Linked DNA regions of Oryctolagus cuniculus. The protein of the gene in region 2 interacts with the protein of the main gene of each other region in a pairwise test. Links are inferred from orthologs where the notes say so. Each region holds a gene or a part of one and is shown on either strand. Other genes may lie near its edges.

Region 1 (4,274 bases), on a different chromosome or scaffold from region 2:
TTCAAAGCAGCTCCTCTGCCCCGATGGGAAGAGGTGGCGGGGAGGGAGGATGCACGCCATGCGGATGGATGAAATCACCTCTCCCAAGTTCCCACAGGCAGGTGCACTGACGCCTGGTCTCAGGGTAAGGAAGGGGAGAACGGCCAGCAATCAGGGCCCAAGCCCAGTGTCCTTTCTCTAGGCCCATGGTCACCGGGCACAGCCTACCCCGCCCTCTCCAAAGGAACCAAGCCGAATGGAGCCATCTGCTTTCTATGCCAGATCCCAGCCGGCCATTCAGCCAAGCAAGCTCTGCACGCTCTCATTTCCACCAGGTGCTGGGCCCCGGTGCCCCTGGACAGTGACAGGACGGTCGCTACTGTTGTTGGGAATGCCGGTGGGGGCTGCCATGACCTAGTGCCCCACCTGGGTCCCTTGCTTCTTCACAGGGACTTGTCACAAGACAGGGAGCACACGGAAAGGGATTCCCTGCTTACCACAAAGCAGTGGAGACTTCAGGGGCGGGATTTATAAGGGGTGGCTGTGGGGGCTTTCACCTTGGACTTCCCTACTCTCCTCTGGGGTAGTGGGGCATGTGCACAAGCCCCAGGGGAAGGGACGGGGCTGGTGCGGAAAGTCCAGGGCAAGAATGCCAAGGGCCCCTCAGCCTGGACATCGGCCCGTGTTGCTCCCTTATTAGGAGTTAAGGGAGTGTATGGGGCTCCCCATCCAAGGCGGGAGACGGCAGAGGCCCAGGAAGTGGCGGAGGATGACAACACGCAGACAGAGGAGCCCCTGGATCAGGTGAGCTGTGGGGTCAGGAAGCAGTGTGCTGGCAGGGCAGTTCTGAGCTGGAAACCAGCAGCCTGGGCCCTGGGCACAGTTCTCGCCTTGTGACAGATGTAAACAGATCTGACATGCCAGAGTCCAGCTCCTGGCTTAGTGGATGTGAAAGCAGTTCCTAATTTCTTGTCTTTTTTTTCTCTGGGGGCTGGGGGACTGCGGGCTGAGGCTGGACAGATCATAGCTCCATTCTGCATGGCTCTCCACCCCCTGCAGCAGGCAGCAGAGGTGGTGGAAGAGGACCTGTCCCTGGCCGGCCAGCCTGGGGTTGGGGCTGGAGAGGCTCTCAGCCTCAGCCCCTGCTCTGCCATGACAGCCGGTGGCTACAGAACTGGGGACCACCACCTTTCATCCTCCGCCTCCCACAGCCTGCTCCCTGGGGCCGAGGCCTGTCCGCCCGCCCTCCCCGCCCAGGCCCACAGCCCAGTCCCCTTCCTGAGCAGAGCAGCCCTGTCCTTACACGATTCTCTGACCAGAGAGAGGAGCAGCAAACAGCTTGGGAGGCAGACCCCAGACGTGGGAGTGCGTCTGCCACAATAAAAGAAGACGTAAATAGTCCCTGCTGACTGCAGATTTATTGGAGGCTGTTGCTACCGGGTGTTGTGCTGGGTGCTGGCTGGGCAGGCTGGGCTCACACTGACTCCGGCGGGAGAGGGGCTAACAGTGGTGGATTCCTGGCCACCACCTGGTGGGATGGGAGGGGCTGGCAGACAGCTCATCTCTGCTGCCATCCTGATGTGTGGGGACTCTGACCCCTGGGGGCCTCCTGTCTGCACTTCCGGCTCAGAGACTGCAGCGGGGGTGCTGCCGTCCTTGGCTTCTGCCCCGTGACAGTTCACAGAAGGCCCTGGCACTGACGGCAGGAAGAGAGCTGCTCGGGCCGAGAGGATGCTGAGGGTGTGTGAGTCTCCCGTGTGCTCGTGGTCCTTAACATGATCATGAGGTAGCTGTTCTCCACATGAGATGGGAGGACGTGCCAGCTCTCCCTGCTCAGGGCCTGCGCCTTGTGACCCGGGCCTCCCTGGAGACAGCAGGGCTGCTGGGGGTCAAAGAGCAGATGGCTGCCTGTGGGTCCTGGTCACTGAGCTTGTGATGCACAGTGTAATTCCCGTCACGGTGAGCACCATGCCGGCGATGGCTCCTGGGATAACAGGCGGAAATCAGGGACTCGGCTCAGCCATGCCAGTGGGAGCTGATACTGGGCTGGCGGGAGAGCTCACATGAGGGCTTGTCCCAATTTCCACCCCAGCATCTGTCCCCAGACTGCCCAGGGGAAGGAAAGTGATGACCACCAGGAAGCAGGACAGGTGCAGAGGAAAGGGGCAGGATGGCGGAAGGCCCTCTCCTCACCAGCCCCTGGGAGATGGGCGTGGGACAGAACCACCCAGGGTTGTCACGGCCGGGCAGCAGCCTGACTTACGTTTGCCACCAATTTCTTCTCCAAGGATCTTCCCGACGATCATTGTGAAGACGATGGCCAGGGAGTTACAGATGGGCACGGCGAGAGTCAGGTCTGGGTGGTCAAGGTGAGGAGAGCCCCTGAGGTGCAGGAAATGCCTTTCCCGTCACAAACACGTTCATCTCACCCTCGTGGCCACTGCACACCTTTCAGAAAGGCGTCCTGACCCCAGCGCCAGAGGAAGTCACAGCAGAGCTCAGGACTCTAACCCAGGCCTCCTGACTCCCAGTTCATGCATTCTCGGGATTCCAGCGTAGCCCTGAGCTCGGGTGTGAGACCAGCCTGGCTTGACAGTGAGAATGAGGTCTCTGCATTCAGAGAGAACTGAGATCTTCTAGACAGACAGACAGGCACACAGATACGAAGGCACCTACAGCCCAAAGGACACGGTGGAACCTGTGTAACAGCGCCAAGCACGGCTACTGTCGATAAAGCACAGGCTACGCACAGTGCTCTGTGTACGTCTCATGTCATTTTCACATGTGACCTTGCTCACAACACCACAAGGAGAGAACTGTCACCAAAGGGAAGAAAGGCTCAAAGAAGTCGCACAAATATAGACAAATTGAGGGTTTAAATGTATTTATTTGGAAAGCAGAGATAGAGTTTTTTCCATCTGCTGGCTTACTCCCCAAGTACTTGCAACAACCAGGGGTAGGCCAGGCAGAAGTCCAGAGCCTTGAACCCAATCTGGGTCCCCAACATGGGTGGCAGGGACCCAAGCACTTAAGCCATCATCTGCCTCCCAGGCAGGAAGCTGGAATTGGAAGTGGAGGTGGGACTTAAATTCAGGCATTCTGACATGGGATGCAGATGTCCTAAGTGGTGTCTTTTTTCTTTTTAATTAATTTATTTGAAAGGCAGAAATACAGAGAGAGATCTTCGATCCACTGGTTCACTCCCCACATGGCCCCCACGGCCAGGGATGGGCCAGGCCAAAGCCAGGAGCCAGGAGCATCTTCCAGGACTCCCACCTGGGCACAGTGGCCCAGGGACTTGGGCCATTTTCCACTGCTTTCCCAGATGCATTAACAGGGAGCTGGATCAGAACTGGAACAGGCTGGTGCCGCGGCTCACTAGGCTAATCCTCCGCCTGAGGCGCCAGCACTCTGGGTTCTAGTCCTGGTCAGGGCACCGGATTCTGTCCCGGTTGCTCCTCTTCTAGTCCAGCTCTCTGCTGTGGCTTGGGAAGGCAGTGGAGGATGGCCCAGGTGCTTGGGTCCTGCACCCGCATGGTGCAGACAATGTTTGGGGGACAGTGCTGTGACATATAAGGTTAAGCCTCTGCCTGCAGTGCTGGCATCCCATATGGGCGCCAGTTCAAGTCTGGGCTGTTCCAGTTCTTTTTTATTTATTTACTTATTTTTTTTTTCTTTGACAGGCAGAGTTAGACAGTGAGAGAGAGAGAGACAGAGAGAAAGGTTTTCCTTCTGTTGGTTCACCTCCCAAATGGCTGCTACGGCTAGCGCGCTGCGCTGATCCGAAGCCAGGAGCGAGCCAGGTGCTCCCTCCTAGTCTCCCATGCGTACAGGGGCCCAAGTACTGGGGCCATTCTCCACTGCCTTCCCGGGCCACAGCAAAGAGCTGGACTGGAAGAGGAGCAACCGAGACTAGGACCTGGCACCCATATGGGATGCCACAGGTGGAAGATTAACCAAATGAGCCACGGCGCCGGCCCCCAAACATTGTCTTAACCACTGTGCCAAATTGAGGGTTTAAACCAAGGTCTGCCTGACTCGAAAGCCTGTGCCCTTACTAAATTAGATGGATATTGGTGGGGCCGGTGCAGTGGCACAGAGGGTTAAAGCCCCAGCCTACAGAGCCAGCATCCCATATGGGCACTGGTTTGAGTCTTGGCTGCTCCACTTCTGATCCAGCTCCCTGCTAATGCACCTGGGAAAGCAGTAGAGGATGGCCCAAGTCCTTGGGCTCCTGCACCTACGTGGGAGACCTGGAAAAAGCTCCTGGCTCCTGGCTTCGGATAGGCTCAAGT
Region 2 (5,664 bases):
TTGGTATTTCTCACCGTTACCTGTACATCTATTCCCCAGTGCTGTGAGCATCCGGGAATCACACCCAGTAAAGCCCAAGCGCTGGGCCTTGCATGTGGGAGCTTCCCAGTAAGAACTCAAGAGTAGCGCAGGCCAGAGGGTGAGACAGTGCGGTAGTGAGGGGGATGGGCAGGGGAAGGGAGGGGTGGGTCCTGAGGGCTGCTCACAGATTCTGTTCCTCCAGGAGCTGCACTTTATGCTGGAGCTCCAGATTCTGGGCTGTGTATTTCGATACCCTGGGAGAAGAACAAGGCTGTGGGGACAGGCCCGAATCACCCCCTTCAAAGTCCCAACACCACCAACCACTGCTTCTGCCCCACCCAAGTCTTTTCCGTACCTGCTCTCTAAACCCCCCACGTACACCTTCTTCTTCCTGCGGCTCTCCTGAGCAGACTTTTTGTTTCGAATCTTCCGCCGCACTCGTTTCAGAACTTGTTCCTCCATCTGAGAGAAGACAGAGAAAGGGGTCTTGGGACCTTGGACTGAGGAGCTGGAAGACAAATGGGCTCGACCTTCTTGCCAACGCAGGAATCCCTTGTCTAGCCTCCCTAACCAGTAGCCATTTTGGTTTCCATCAGAATGCCTCTAAAGACCAGGTGTTAAGATCACAGGTGCCAGAGCATTTTTAACAATTTCATTCACTGAAAAATTTCTTACCCTGAATTAACATCTGCCTCCATGTAATTTCTATCCATTGAACTTATCTCTGGGGTCGTGTAGAACAAAATTCTACATAGCTGTTTTAAGGCTGTTGGCATTTCCTCAGAGTTTAAAAAAACACACACACAAAAAAACCCTGGACAGACTTCTTAACCCAACATTTCACCATCACTGCATCCTCTTGGTATCTGTCAAAGATACAGGCCCAAAACTGGGCACTTAAAATGCACTGTGATTTGTACAAAAGACAGCAAGACAGTCTTGCCTTTTTAGAGACAATGCATGTATTGACGCTGCTTCCACATCCCACTTGCTTTGCCATATCTCACTGCTGACTCATCTTGTACTTTTAAGAAGTTAAAATTTCTTTAATAAGTACTTATTTTATTACAGGGTCACAATACTGTGCTTGTGAAGTCACCACCCAGTGTTGAAACTTAAAACTTATGCTTCTACATTTGTACTGTTAGAAGGCTTAGTCCAGGCCGGCGCCGTGGCTCACTAGGCTAATCCTCCACCTTGCGGCGCCGGCACGCCGGGTTCTAGTCCCAGTCGGGGCGCCGGATTCTGTCCCGGTTGCCCCTCTTCCAGGCCAGCTCTCTGCTATGGCCTGCAGCTCTCTGCAGTGGAGGCTGGCCCAAGTGCTTGGGCCCTGCACCCCATGGGAGACCAGGAGAAGCACCTGGCTCCTGGCTTCAGATCAGCGCAGTGCACCAGCCCCAGCAGCCATTGGAGGGTGAACCAACAGCAAAAGGAAGACCTTTCTCTCTGTCTCTCTCTTTCACTGTCCATTCTGCCTGTCAAAAAAAAAAAAAAAAAAAAAAAGAAGGCTTAATCCAGCCTCATTGAACTCCCTAAAACAATTCTCCCATTCAGCGCGATGTAGATTACCACCAAGCCGATGAACTCCAAGTGGCAGAGCCCTTCCCTTGCACAGTCCTGCCCAAGGCCCTACGCTAATGTTGCATTGATAATTCTGAAATCTTTTTTCTTAGAACACCAAAATGTGTTAGAAGCCTCACAAAACCAGGATCCACCCTTGCATCTAGCATATTAACCAACAACTCTGCTAAGATGTTCACCTCTTAAGTGTATCTTATTTTTGACACTGATATTACACACATCTATAGGATACAGAGTGACATTTAAGTAATGTATACAATGTAAAAATAAGTAGGGCAGGGTAACTGGCACATGTATCACTGCAGACATTTATCATTTCTTTGAATCAGAAACTGAATATCCTCTCTGCTAGCTATTTTGAAATGCAGCTGCTACCAAGCATAACGTTAGAAGTGACTCCTATCTGACTGCATTCCGGTACAGGTCGACCAGCCTCTCTGCACTCTCCCTCCCCTACACCCTCCAGCCTTTGCCCCACCAATGGGAGCCTTACCTTGGTGAGAGGAAGCGTTCCAGGCAGAGTAAGCCCCTCCTTCTCCAGTAGCCTCTTCTCCTCCTCGGTCAGTACCAGCCTAGCAACCTCCTGAGGTTACGGGGAAGTAGGCAGCAGTTGCATGGGGATGTCCGAAAGAAATGGGAATTCCCGCCCCGCCCCGCCCCGTGCAATGTGGGGATAAGCCTCCTGAAAATCAAGTCAGCTACCTGCTCTGTTGGCTCCTCCACATACAGCGGAGTCATCGGAGCCTCCTCCTTCCCATAGCTCCCACTATCTGCAAAAGGGCAATTGTGACTAGCCGGGCCCACGGACCCTCTCCTCTAGCTCCCAACTTTTCTGATGTCACTCACCTACGTCCACGGAGACATGCTCCTGTGGGAGGGAGTAAGTGTGATCGTGGTGCACAGGCGAGGGCTCGCAGGAGCTGAGGTCGGCCAACGACGCCGGGGGACTCAGCAGGGTGCTCAGCAGATCCTCTGCCTCCCAGTCGCTCAGTACCTGCACCGGGTTCAAATTCCCAGGCCCTGGCCTGTCACTGACACCCGGGTCTCGCGGACGTGCCGCGCCTCCCTGACGCGGAGCCCTACCCACCCACCTCGGAAAGCGGCAGCTCCCAATCCGGGGGCGCCTCCACCGACTCATCGGCTGCCTCCCCCCATGCTCCGCTCTGCTCGAGCAGGAAGCCGAGCAGGTCCTGATCGCCAGGGTCCAACGCCAGCTCCATCTGCGACATCTACGGCAGAAACTCAAGGGTTCACTTCGCAGCCCGGTTCCAATACGCGAGCCCCAGGCACGACCCCCAGCCCAACCGCCGGGTCTCTCCCGCCTACCCACCGCTCCTCTTCGGCTGGCCTTCCCCGCTGCCGGGGCGGCAGTCGCTGTCAAGCCCGACCCACCCACCCGCCGGACTCCGTCGCCCTCGGCCTCCAACACAGCACAAGTGACGCACGCGGCCCCGCGGCCTCTCGGGACTTGTAGTTCCCTCCGAGCCGGAAGTGGCTCGGGTGCTGCGCCACGTCCCGGGGGCGATGCAAATGAGGGGGACGTCCCCGCCCCGGGGGCGGGGACACCGGCGACTCGCCTCCGCCTTCGCCCCGAGCTAGAAAAAAGGAAGAGTCCGAGTGTAACAGGGAACTCGGGCGCCGCTGGGGTGTTTTCTCCGGATTGCGCCGCGCCCTGGCTTCCTGCCGGGGAGGGGCTGCCAGTCTTCGGCGGGCTCGCGAGCATCGAGAGCTGGGGCCAGAGCAGCTTCCTGCAGGTCCCCAAAACCATAGAGCGCGGGCCCAGGGCGCCGCCCGGGGGTGGGGGACGCGCCGGGGACGGAAGTGGCCGAGTGTGGCGAAGGGAGGGCGAGGCCGGAGCCGGAGAGCGGGCCCGGAGGACGAGCAGGGCCGGCGGGCGGGGCGCAGAGCCGGGCAGCGCAGGTAGGCCGCGGCGGGCCGGGCCGGAACCTCGGGGTGGGGCCGCGAGGTCTGGCCCGGGAGGCGGGCGGGCGCGGCCCCTGACTGCGGCGCGTCTATGGCGGGTTCTGGGGGAGACGTCAGCTTCCAGGGTGTCTCGGCAGGCCGATCTGCGGGAGGTGGCTCCTCTGCGGGAGCAGTCCTTGGCCTGGAATAGGTTTTGGGGAAGGGTGAGGAGTGTGGCGGCCGCGGGGCGCAGGGCGGGGATGGGCTTTGGTGTTTGCTGATAGCGGGGATGTTGGGCTGGAGAGCTGTGGATGAGTCTGGGTTTAGGTGGGGTTGGGTTTGGGAATCAAGGGTCTCTTTAGGAGGTGTAAGGCCGGGGTTAACGCTTGAGTTATTGGCGTGATTTAGATCCGTTTTATAAATAAGTGAGGTTGAGGTTGAGGTCGTTATTTTGTTTCCTGGGATGACCAGAGGTAAGTCAGAGTTAAAAGAGTTCAGGGTCAGGTTAATGGTCAACAACAGGAATTAGGTTAGAAGTCCATTTTAAGGATCATAGGATATTGTCGTGGTCAGTTTTAAGGATAAACAGTGAAAAGGTGAGTTAGGAATCAAGTTACAGGTGAGCTAATTTAGACTTAGGGGTCAACATTTTGGGTTAAAGTCAGCAGATTTGGTGCTAACGGTAAAAATTAGTTGAGCCTTAGGGATCAAGGATTGGATGCTTGCTGGTCTCTGCTAGGAGGGGGATTCTATGAGAATGAGGAAACAAATTAGGGCACTAAGGGCAGACCCAGGCCAGGAATATTGACCTTGGGCAGATAACATTTAAGAGGTCGGCAATAGATCGATGCCTTTGGTGTGTGTGTGTGTGTGTGTGTGTGAGAGAAAGAGAGAGTGGGGGGGAGGGAAGTCCCCTCATTTTTATTTAGTCACAGGAGCTTCTTTCAGCCAGAGAGATGACACATTTTGGGTTGGGGTTCTGGACTTCAGGTAGAATTTCCTCGATTCCTCTCTAAGCTCAATGCTGTTGCTGTGGCCACCACAGTTACGGGGCAGGGATTGCTGGACTGTGTTCTGTATGAGATGGGAGGTGGGCAATGGCCAGGGACCCAGGCAGTGGGGACCACCCAGGGAGGAGGAGAGCAGTGGCTAAGGGGGAAGCCGACCAGGGGCCACCGTTGTGTGAGAGAAGGGGATGAATGAATCCCTCGGGACTTAGTCCCATTGCCTCCCACTCCCCTCCTTCCTTCGCTGTTAAGCCCCCTCTCTACCTCTCATCCCTAGCTCTGCATGTTGCATCCTTCCTGCACCCGCCCCTTTAGAAACTAGCTCCCTGCCTTTCATTCTTCCATGTTGTTCATCCCATTCTCAATTCAGCCTCCCTCCCTGCTTCTTAACCCACACCTCCTACTTGCCCAAATCTAAGCTCTCCCATTGTCTTAAAGCAGGGTCCCACCATTTTCACCCGTTCACACACCTGAGTGCTACTGGCTGCTGACGACCCCACCCCCAGCTCCTGCTGTGCGCCTCCTCTAATTTCTTGGTCCAGTTAAAGATCCCCTTCCCCCACTCCCCAACAGAAAAGAGGAAATGAGACCCAAAGAGGAAACTGGGTCTTGCTGATCCCACGCCTTGCCAGGCCATTGACCACACCCCCATTTCACTCCCACCCTGACCCTGCCACTGACCACAGCACTATCCCCTACCCAGTCTGACCCAACCTCTGGCCCCCTCCTGTGCTAGCTCCAGCTTTTACTTCCCACACACCCCAGCCTAATTTAGCCACGGACACAGCCCAATTCTCCTCACCCCTCTGTAGCTGAGCCGGCCCCTGACCTCACGCCGTCATTCCCTGACTTAGCTGCCACCCATGTAATCATCTCTTCCCTTCCCCTTCTTGCAGCCTGATTCAGGGACCAGTCATACATGTATTTTTCCTATCACCATCTTCCCCCTTTCCACCCGATGCAGTCATTAATCCCACCCTGTCTTCCCTCACTTAACTACTGATCACGCTTCCATCTCCTTTGCCCATAGCCGCATCTGCCCGGCCCAGCCCGACCCACCCTACCCCCTCCCCAGTTCCTTACCTAAACCTCAGCCGCCCCAGCTCCTAGGAGGCTGCTGAGGATAGGAAGCTCTGGGCCCAGCAGGATTCTG
Region 3 (5,655 bases), on a different chromosome or scaffold from region 2:
CAGGGCATTCAGAGCCAGACCAAGAGTATGTGAGTGGGGAGCCGGCTGGGCTTGCTGGCGTGCCAGAAGCAGGGAGTGGGAGAGCATGGGAGACCACTTATCTCCCTCCTACTCCCCCTTCCTCATTCCAGGCCCAAACACCAGGCCAAGATGTCTCCAACTGTGTAAAAGAATGGGAACATGGGACAATGCCACATGTAAGGGATGTTAGGAAACCCAAACACAGCACAACACTGATGTACTTAATTTGGTTTATGAAATGCAGTTTGCAATTTCTGTGGGATCCTCTATGTTAGTGTTAAAAAAAAAAAAAAAAAAAAAAGAAGAGGAGAGGAGAGAAGAGAAGAGAGGAGGGGTGAGGAGGGGAGGAGGGCCATTTGATTAGGAAGCAGGAAACCAGAATCCCAGATTGGAATCTGTTGCCCTGTGTAGAACTACTTGCAGGTCACTGAAGCTCTCAGTGCAATGGAGAAAAACGTGATAATTAACTGTCTGATGCACCCCATGGGGGTTAAATAAGAACACAAGAGTCTTGGAAAACATAAACTTAATTTTGAAGTTAGAAGACAGCACCTGTATTATCTAAACAGCTTACATTTACTTTTCCCCCATTTTTTTCAATCTGAAAAGGTTGTGAGCAAGTGTCATTAATTTATTCTGGGGGAGGGAGGGGAGGATTCATTCCTCGGTGGATTGTGCTTTTTGTCAGTCCAAGCTCCTTTTCAGAGCCCTTTCTTCCGTAAACTAACTTTCACCTTCCATCAACCCAGTAGTCTCAGTGGTGTTGACCCCTTCTTGCTCCAGAAGTGGACATGTGACACAGGTCTGACCAATCAGAGCATCCTTTCTCCTTGGGCATGTGATTCAAGCCAACCAATCGGACAGTGAATTTCAATTCATTGTGAAACCCTCTCTTTCCACAGAATAGATTGTGGCCTGGAACATTCCAGAAGCCCTCCCACTCCCACCAGGGGACAGCCTGCTTGAGAATGGTGGCATCTGAGAGGAGAGCAGAGCCTAGAGGAGAGTACGGTGGAGTCCCGGGGACACTTTTTGATCCAGGGATCCCTAAAGCCAGCTCCACTTGTGATTTCCCACTTGAGTCAATGCAGACGCCCCTTTCTCCTTCAGCACAGCTGGGTTTCTTGATGCCTTTAATTCTAAGGGTCTTGACTGATAGAAATTTCTGGGACTCATGTTTTAGAACTTGCAAAAGATAAACCTGTCATGCCTCCATGCAGAGCTACATGAATTAAGAAAATATAAGGTTTAAATTATACCTTTATAAAGTCCAAGTGTATCTGATATAATCTCCCAGCCACATACATTTATAGTAACCCCCAGGCGACATCTTATAATTTAAAAGAGACACAAATTACTAAAATAAAGAAATATTCCATTTTATTTTACTCTTCCATCCATGAGGTCCAAGGAAATACAAATTCATGGAAACTAAAAATACCAAAATGTGATTTTGACCAGCGTTAGAAGTTGCATGGAATCAGCAGAATGTGACTGTCTTGAGTGATTTTTGCCCTTCTCAGTTTGCCAAGTCAGGTGTAACATTTGGTCTAGCCCATGTAACAATCTCTGTGATAACTTGTCCAGGCTGAAGAGAGTTGTCATAGAATCATGAGGCCCAAACAACTGAAAGGTTCAGTACACAAAGCAAAATGGTCAACATTACTGGGTGACACAGACTGCTTATCATCAAGCTAGTAAACCATGGTGAATCTCACTCTGTAGCACTACAAATACCCCGGCACTGCCCTCATAGGTTTATTCTTCTATGCATGCATGTGGTGAATGGGTATTTTTAAGTCCCTGCGGGACACCGGCAGGCACTGTGTTAAATGCTGGAGTTACAAGATTAAGGCACTCAGTCTGCCCCCAAGGAGCTTTCAGTCTAACGACATGGAGAAATATGGGAATGAAGGGCAGTGCAATGTGACGATGACATTTAATGCTGACCACTGAAGCCTGTTCAAAGCAAAACAGAACCGTAGACTCACTCCACTGTAGCTTCCACAAAGAAGGCATGTGGCATTCCTCCACGGACACATGAAAGCTTAATAGTCTTGGTCCCTGTCTTGCAGTCCCAGTGTTACAACGGGGAGCTGCAGCCTTACAAGTTACAGCAGACCCAGAAACGGTTAGCGCCTTGCTGCTGCTGAGTGCTCAGGGGAGGTGCAGTGGGTCATCGCCGAGGTGGCTGACCACTGTCCCGGCTCACCCCTCTGCTCATTCAGCAGTTAGTAAGGCACTTCCCCATGCTCCTGACTCCCGAGACACCCTCCAAGGCCGTCCAGATGGGCAGTTGAACCTTAGGCATTAACCTGGAAGGACTGCTCCCACTGGGCCAGACACGGGGTTGTGATCTGGGGGAGTGTTTGATAAGGAGAGTTCCTTCTCTTGGATTTCCAACCCTACACCCAATACTGTGAGGGCTACTTCCTCCTCCGGAATGACTGGCTTTTCACTTATCACTGGTGATTTGGGTGCAAAGCGGAGCCTGTAGGTTGGGCTTAACACAAAGGGCCGAGCTCTCACGTCCTACAGTGCTGTGGGACATCCAGCCACAGGCACTCAACGGAGCAGCAAATTAATAGCACCCTGCTCCCATGAGCTCCGGCTGCCCCTCTCCTCTCTCCTTGTCTCTCTCTGGACCTAGGCTCTCTTCAACATGTGCGTGGAATGAGCGGGAGCTGTGAGCTGCAGTTTCTGAGTCAGGCCGTGATGGGTCAATTGACAGCAGTAACAGTGAAGGAGGGGTTTAGAATTTCTAGTCTGCCTTGCTGAATCCATCTCACCTGGAATCACCTCCACTACACACTGCCGACTCGCATCGAGGGTCAGGGCTGCAGCCCTGGGAGCAGGGAGAAACGAAGAGGCAGAATTTCAAGACGCCGTCTCCTGTGCTCACTGAGAGTGGATGTGCATAGTGAGTGGTATTAAGGCATCTCGACAGAAGCACTTTGCTTAGCTCAGCTAAAAACCAGAGTAGCTTAGTGTTAGCTCATTAATAAATCTGTATGATTGGGTGTATCACCTCTAGAAACTGAATTTTATAAATGCTCTCATGATAAAAATATACAGTACATTCTCTATAAAAGCAATTTAAAAATGAGTAATTGACTTTACTTAGGCTCCTTATTTAGTGTAGTTTCACAAATCACTCACACACACAAAAAAACTGTAAAATCTGTACAAAAATAAGAACTCTCCATTTTCTGTAACATCTTATCTTTTCTGTATACAAATATGTTCATATAAAAAAGTGTCTACTTAGGAAAGTATAAAAACATTGCTCCAGTGTCATGTGTGCCCTCTAGGGAAACGTACCTTTGGGAATAATATAACTACTGGGAATTCTTAATGACGTGCAAGTCCCACACGTGCCACAGCTGCCTTCCCCTCAGAGCGGCATCGAAACCCTGCCTGTCTGCACCACTTCTAGAACTTGTCTGTGACATTCACTGAGGGAGACAGTACGCTTCTTTCTTCAAACGTCACCGTTGATTTCTGTAGATATCTTTAGAGTGACACTCTGTTAGGAAGGAAGCGGGGAAAAGGTTTAGAAGTTCAAGTCCAGAGCTGCCAACGACCTCTCTAACAGCTTTGCACCACCACAGAAATGACCCCATTGTGTGCCTTGTGCTACCTTGAGGTGGGTCCTAAAGGATTTTCTTGGCTTCCTATATCCTTTCAGTTAATATTTCCCTTGTTTCAAAACATAGGATTTTTCTTGTGGCCAAATCTGGTAAGTCCCACCTTTGCTCTGCTTTGGGAACATTTTTCAATTCTTTTAAAAGACACATTTCCTATTATTTGGAACTAGTAAGTGAGACCTCCTCAGAAGGAAAACAACCAGGGCACATGACGATTAGCATCAAATGGCAGAGGACAAATGAAAATTTCATTGGTTGGCAAAGCTGTCAAGACACTTTCCTTTGGGAACAAGCTAATAAACTAAGTTGCACAACACACATTTTTTTCCCCCCAAACAAATTAAGGGTAAAAAGAAAGTGCTTTATTTTTTTCAAGTGCAAGGAATTTTCTGTGAATTTTTACTAATCCTAATTGTTGACAATTTATAATATTTGAGTGAATAAATACCTACCTGGAAATCTTGGATGAATGTTAGGAAGTAGAAAATAAAACCAAAGGCCACCATCCACTCACAGATTGCACTCACCACGTGATATACATAATCCTGAAGCAATGATAAAGAAAGAGAATTTAGCCTAAAGGACTCATTCTAGTGCAGACGTAAAGTGTAGCCTGGAGGCGATCAAGGGCACTTTTAGATGTTCATGGAAAATGGAATTAAAAGATTAATTTATTGAGATGAAGAAAAACTGAAATCCATGCATACTTTTTCATAATATGCATCTTTCATCAAATTTGAAGCCTTCCCTTCCCCTTGTATGCATGGATTTCAAAAATGCTTGCACCAAAATAAACTTGTCTATTCCTTTTTCCTGTGAACTCTTTGAAGAACGCTCATCGAGTAAGGAAAGCCACGGAGATCCATGTCAGGATTCTGCCTGTTGAGAGCAAAAGTTCCATTATTTTAGAATTTCTTTCTGGCTCTCACTCTGGGTTTTTTTCTTTTTTCTTTCTTTCTTTTTCTTTGACAGGTAGAGTTATAGACAGAGAGAGAGAGACAAAGAGAAATCTCACTCTGGTTTTAAGACTTAGTCTACTTAACTTCAAAGAGCAGAAGAAGGACCACAAAAGAACTGAGAATGTGAAGCAACTGAGGATTCAACCAAAGAAAGAACTTCCCATAAAGGGCATGGCTTGGTCTCCCCTCACCTGGAATTCAGAAACTGAAGGGCATGCTGAACATTCATGCTGCATTCATGCTGCAGATGTCCCACAGTGTGCGACTACCCCCCACCAGCACCTGTGTTCTCTGTCACTGCAGAAGGTGTTGGTGCAGCAAACAGTTCCTCTCAACGTGACAGGCCAGATATGGCAACACAGAAAATGCCAACAAGGAGCTCCACAGGTTTACTGTGTATCTTCTCAGGGACGAGAACCAGAACATGGAAGCCAGGGATCTGAATGGCTTTAACCAGGCATTCAAAACTCAGTTGCTTAGGAAGGCAAGAAAATTCTTTAAAATGAATGGAACTGATAGTTGTTGAAAGTGAGGGAACTTGGGGAATCCATGTCTCATCAACTCAATTCTATTTTCACCAAATGAAAAAATAAAAACGTCAGTGTTGTTTTGAAAGGGGCGTTTTTTAAAAAGCCTACGTGTGTGCATGTGAGAGAGAGAGAGAACTCATCTGATAATGCAGGAAACTTATTTAAAAGCATTTTTAAATTCTACGTCAAAAATGCACAAGTGCATTCTGACTTTAGCTCATTTTAGCTCACTTTAGCTCACTGTGGACTGTCAGTGTACCCCCTCTGACTTCAAATAATGGCTTCATTTGTTTCTCATCCTCTTTCTGCTCTGCAACAGGTGACAAAGAATGAGTAAACAAACATGCTGAACTGCAGGTCAGTTCTACAGCAAGTTTGTGGATCCCATTTTCACCTAAAAGATATAATCAAGGCAGGTCACACTCTCATATTCATCACTCATCACTCTCCCCATGGACGGGTCATATCCAGCCATTGTTCTCATCCAAGGTCACACTG

The links. The genes of interacting proteins can lie anywhere in the genome.
Region 1: the proteins of CREB3 (region 2) and TMEM234 interact in a two-hybrid assay, tested with the Homo sapiens proteins (2 studies listed by BioGRID and IntAct). The two-hybrid records come from large-scale screens. The link is inferred for Oryctolagus cuniculus from reciprocal best matches to the Homo sapiens genes CREB3 and TMEM234.
Region 3: the proteins of CREB3 (region 2) and DRAM1 interact in a two-hybrid assay, tested with the Homo sapiens proteins (2 studies listed by BioGRID and IntAct). The two-hybrid records come from large-scale screens. The link is inferred for Oryctolagus cuniculus from reciprocal best matches to the Homo sapiens genes CREB3 and DRAM1.

The regions. Positions count from the first base shown.
Region 1 is NC_091438.1:140,242,129-140,246,402, reverse strand, and holds the end of TMEM234 (transmembrane protein 234), read right to left. Parts: intron 2,349-4,274; exon of another isoform or gene 2,336-2,348; coding exon 2,243-2,335; exon of another isoform or gene 2,213-2,242; intron 2,026-2,212; coding exon of another isoform or gene 1,964-2,025; coding exon 1,869-1,963; 3' UTR 1,376-1,868; downstream 1-1,375.
Region 2 is NC_091432.1:198,638,778-198,644,441, reverse strand, and holds the start of CREB3 (cyclic AMP-responsive element-binding protein 3), read right to left. Parts: upstream 3,371-5,664; coding exon 2,933-3,370; exon of another isoform or gene 2,929-2,932; intron 2,832-2,928; coding exon 2,694-2,831; intron 2,597-2,693; coding exon 2,449-2,596; intron 2,373-2,448; coding exon 2,305-2,372; intron 2,186-2,304; coding exon 2,096-2,185; intron 484-2,095; coding exon 377-483; intron 276-376; coding exon 207-275; intron 1-206. UniProt on the Homo sapiens protein: Endoplasmic reticulum (ER)-bound sequence-specific transcription factor that directly binds DNA and activates transcription. Plays a role in the unfolded protein response (UPR), promoting cell survival versus ER stress-induced apoptotic cell death.
Region 3 is NC_091442.1:104,885,711-104,891,365, reverse strand, and holds the end of DRAM1 (DNA damage-regulated autophagy modulator protein 1), read right to left. Parts: intron 4,214-5,655; coding exon 4,121-4,213; intron 3,548-4,120; coding exon 3,503-3,547; 3' UTR 1,376-3,502; downstream 1-1,375. UniProt on the Homo sapiens protein: Lysosomal modulator of autophagy that plays a central role in p53/TP53-mediated apoptosis. Not involved in p73/TP73-mediated autophagy.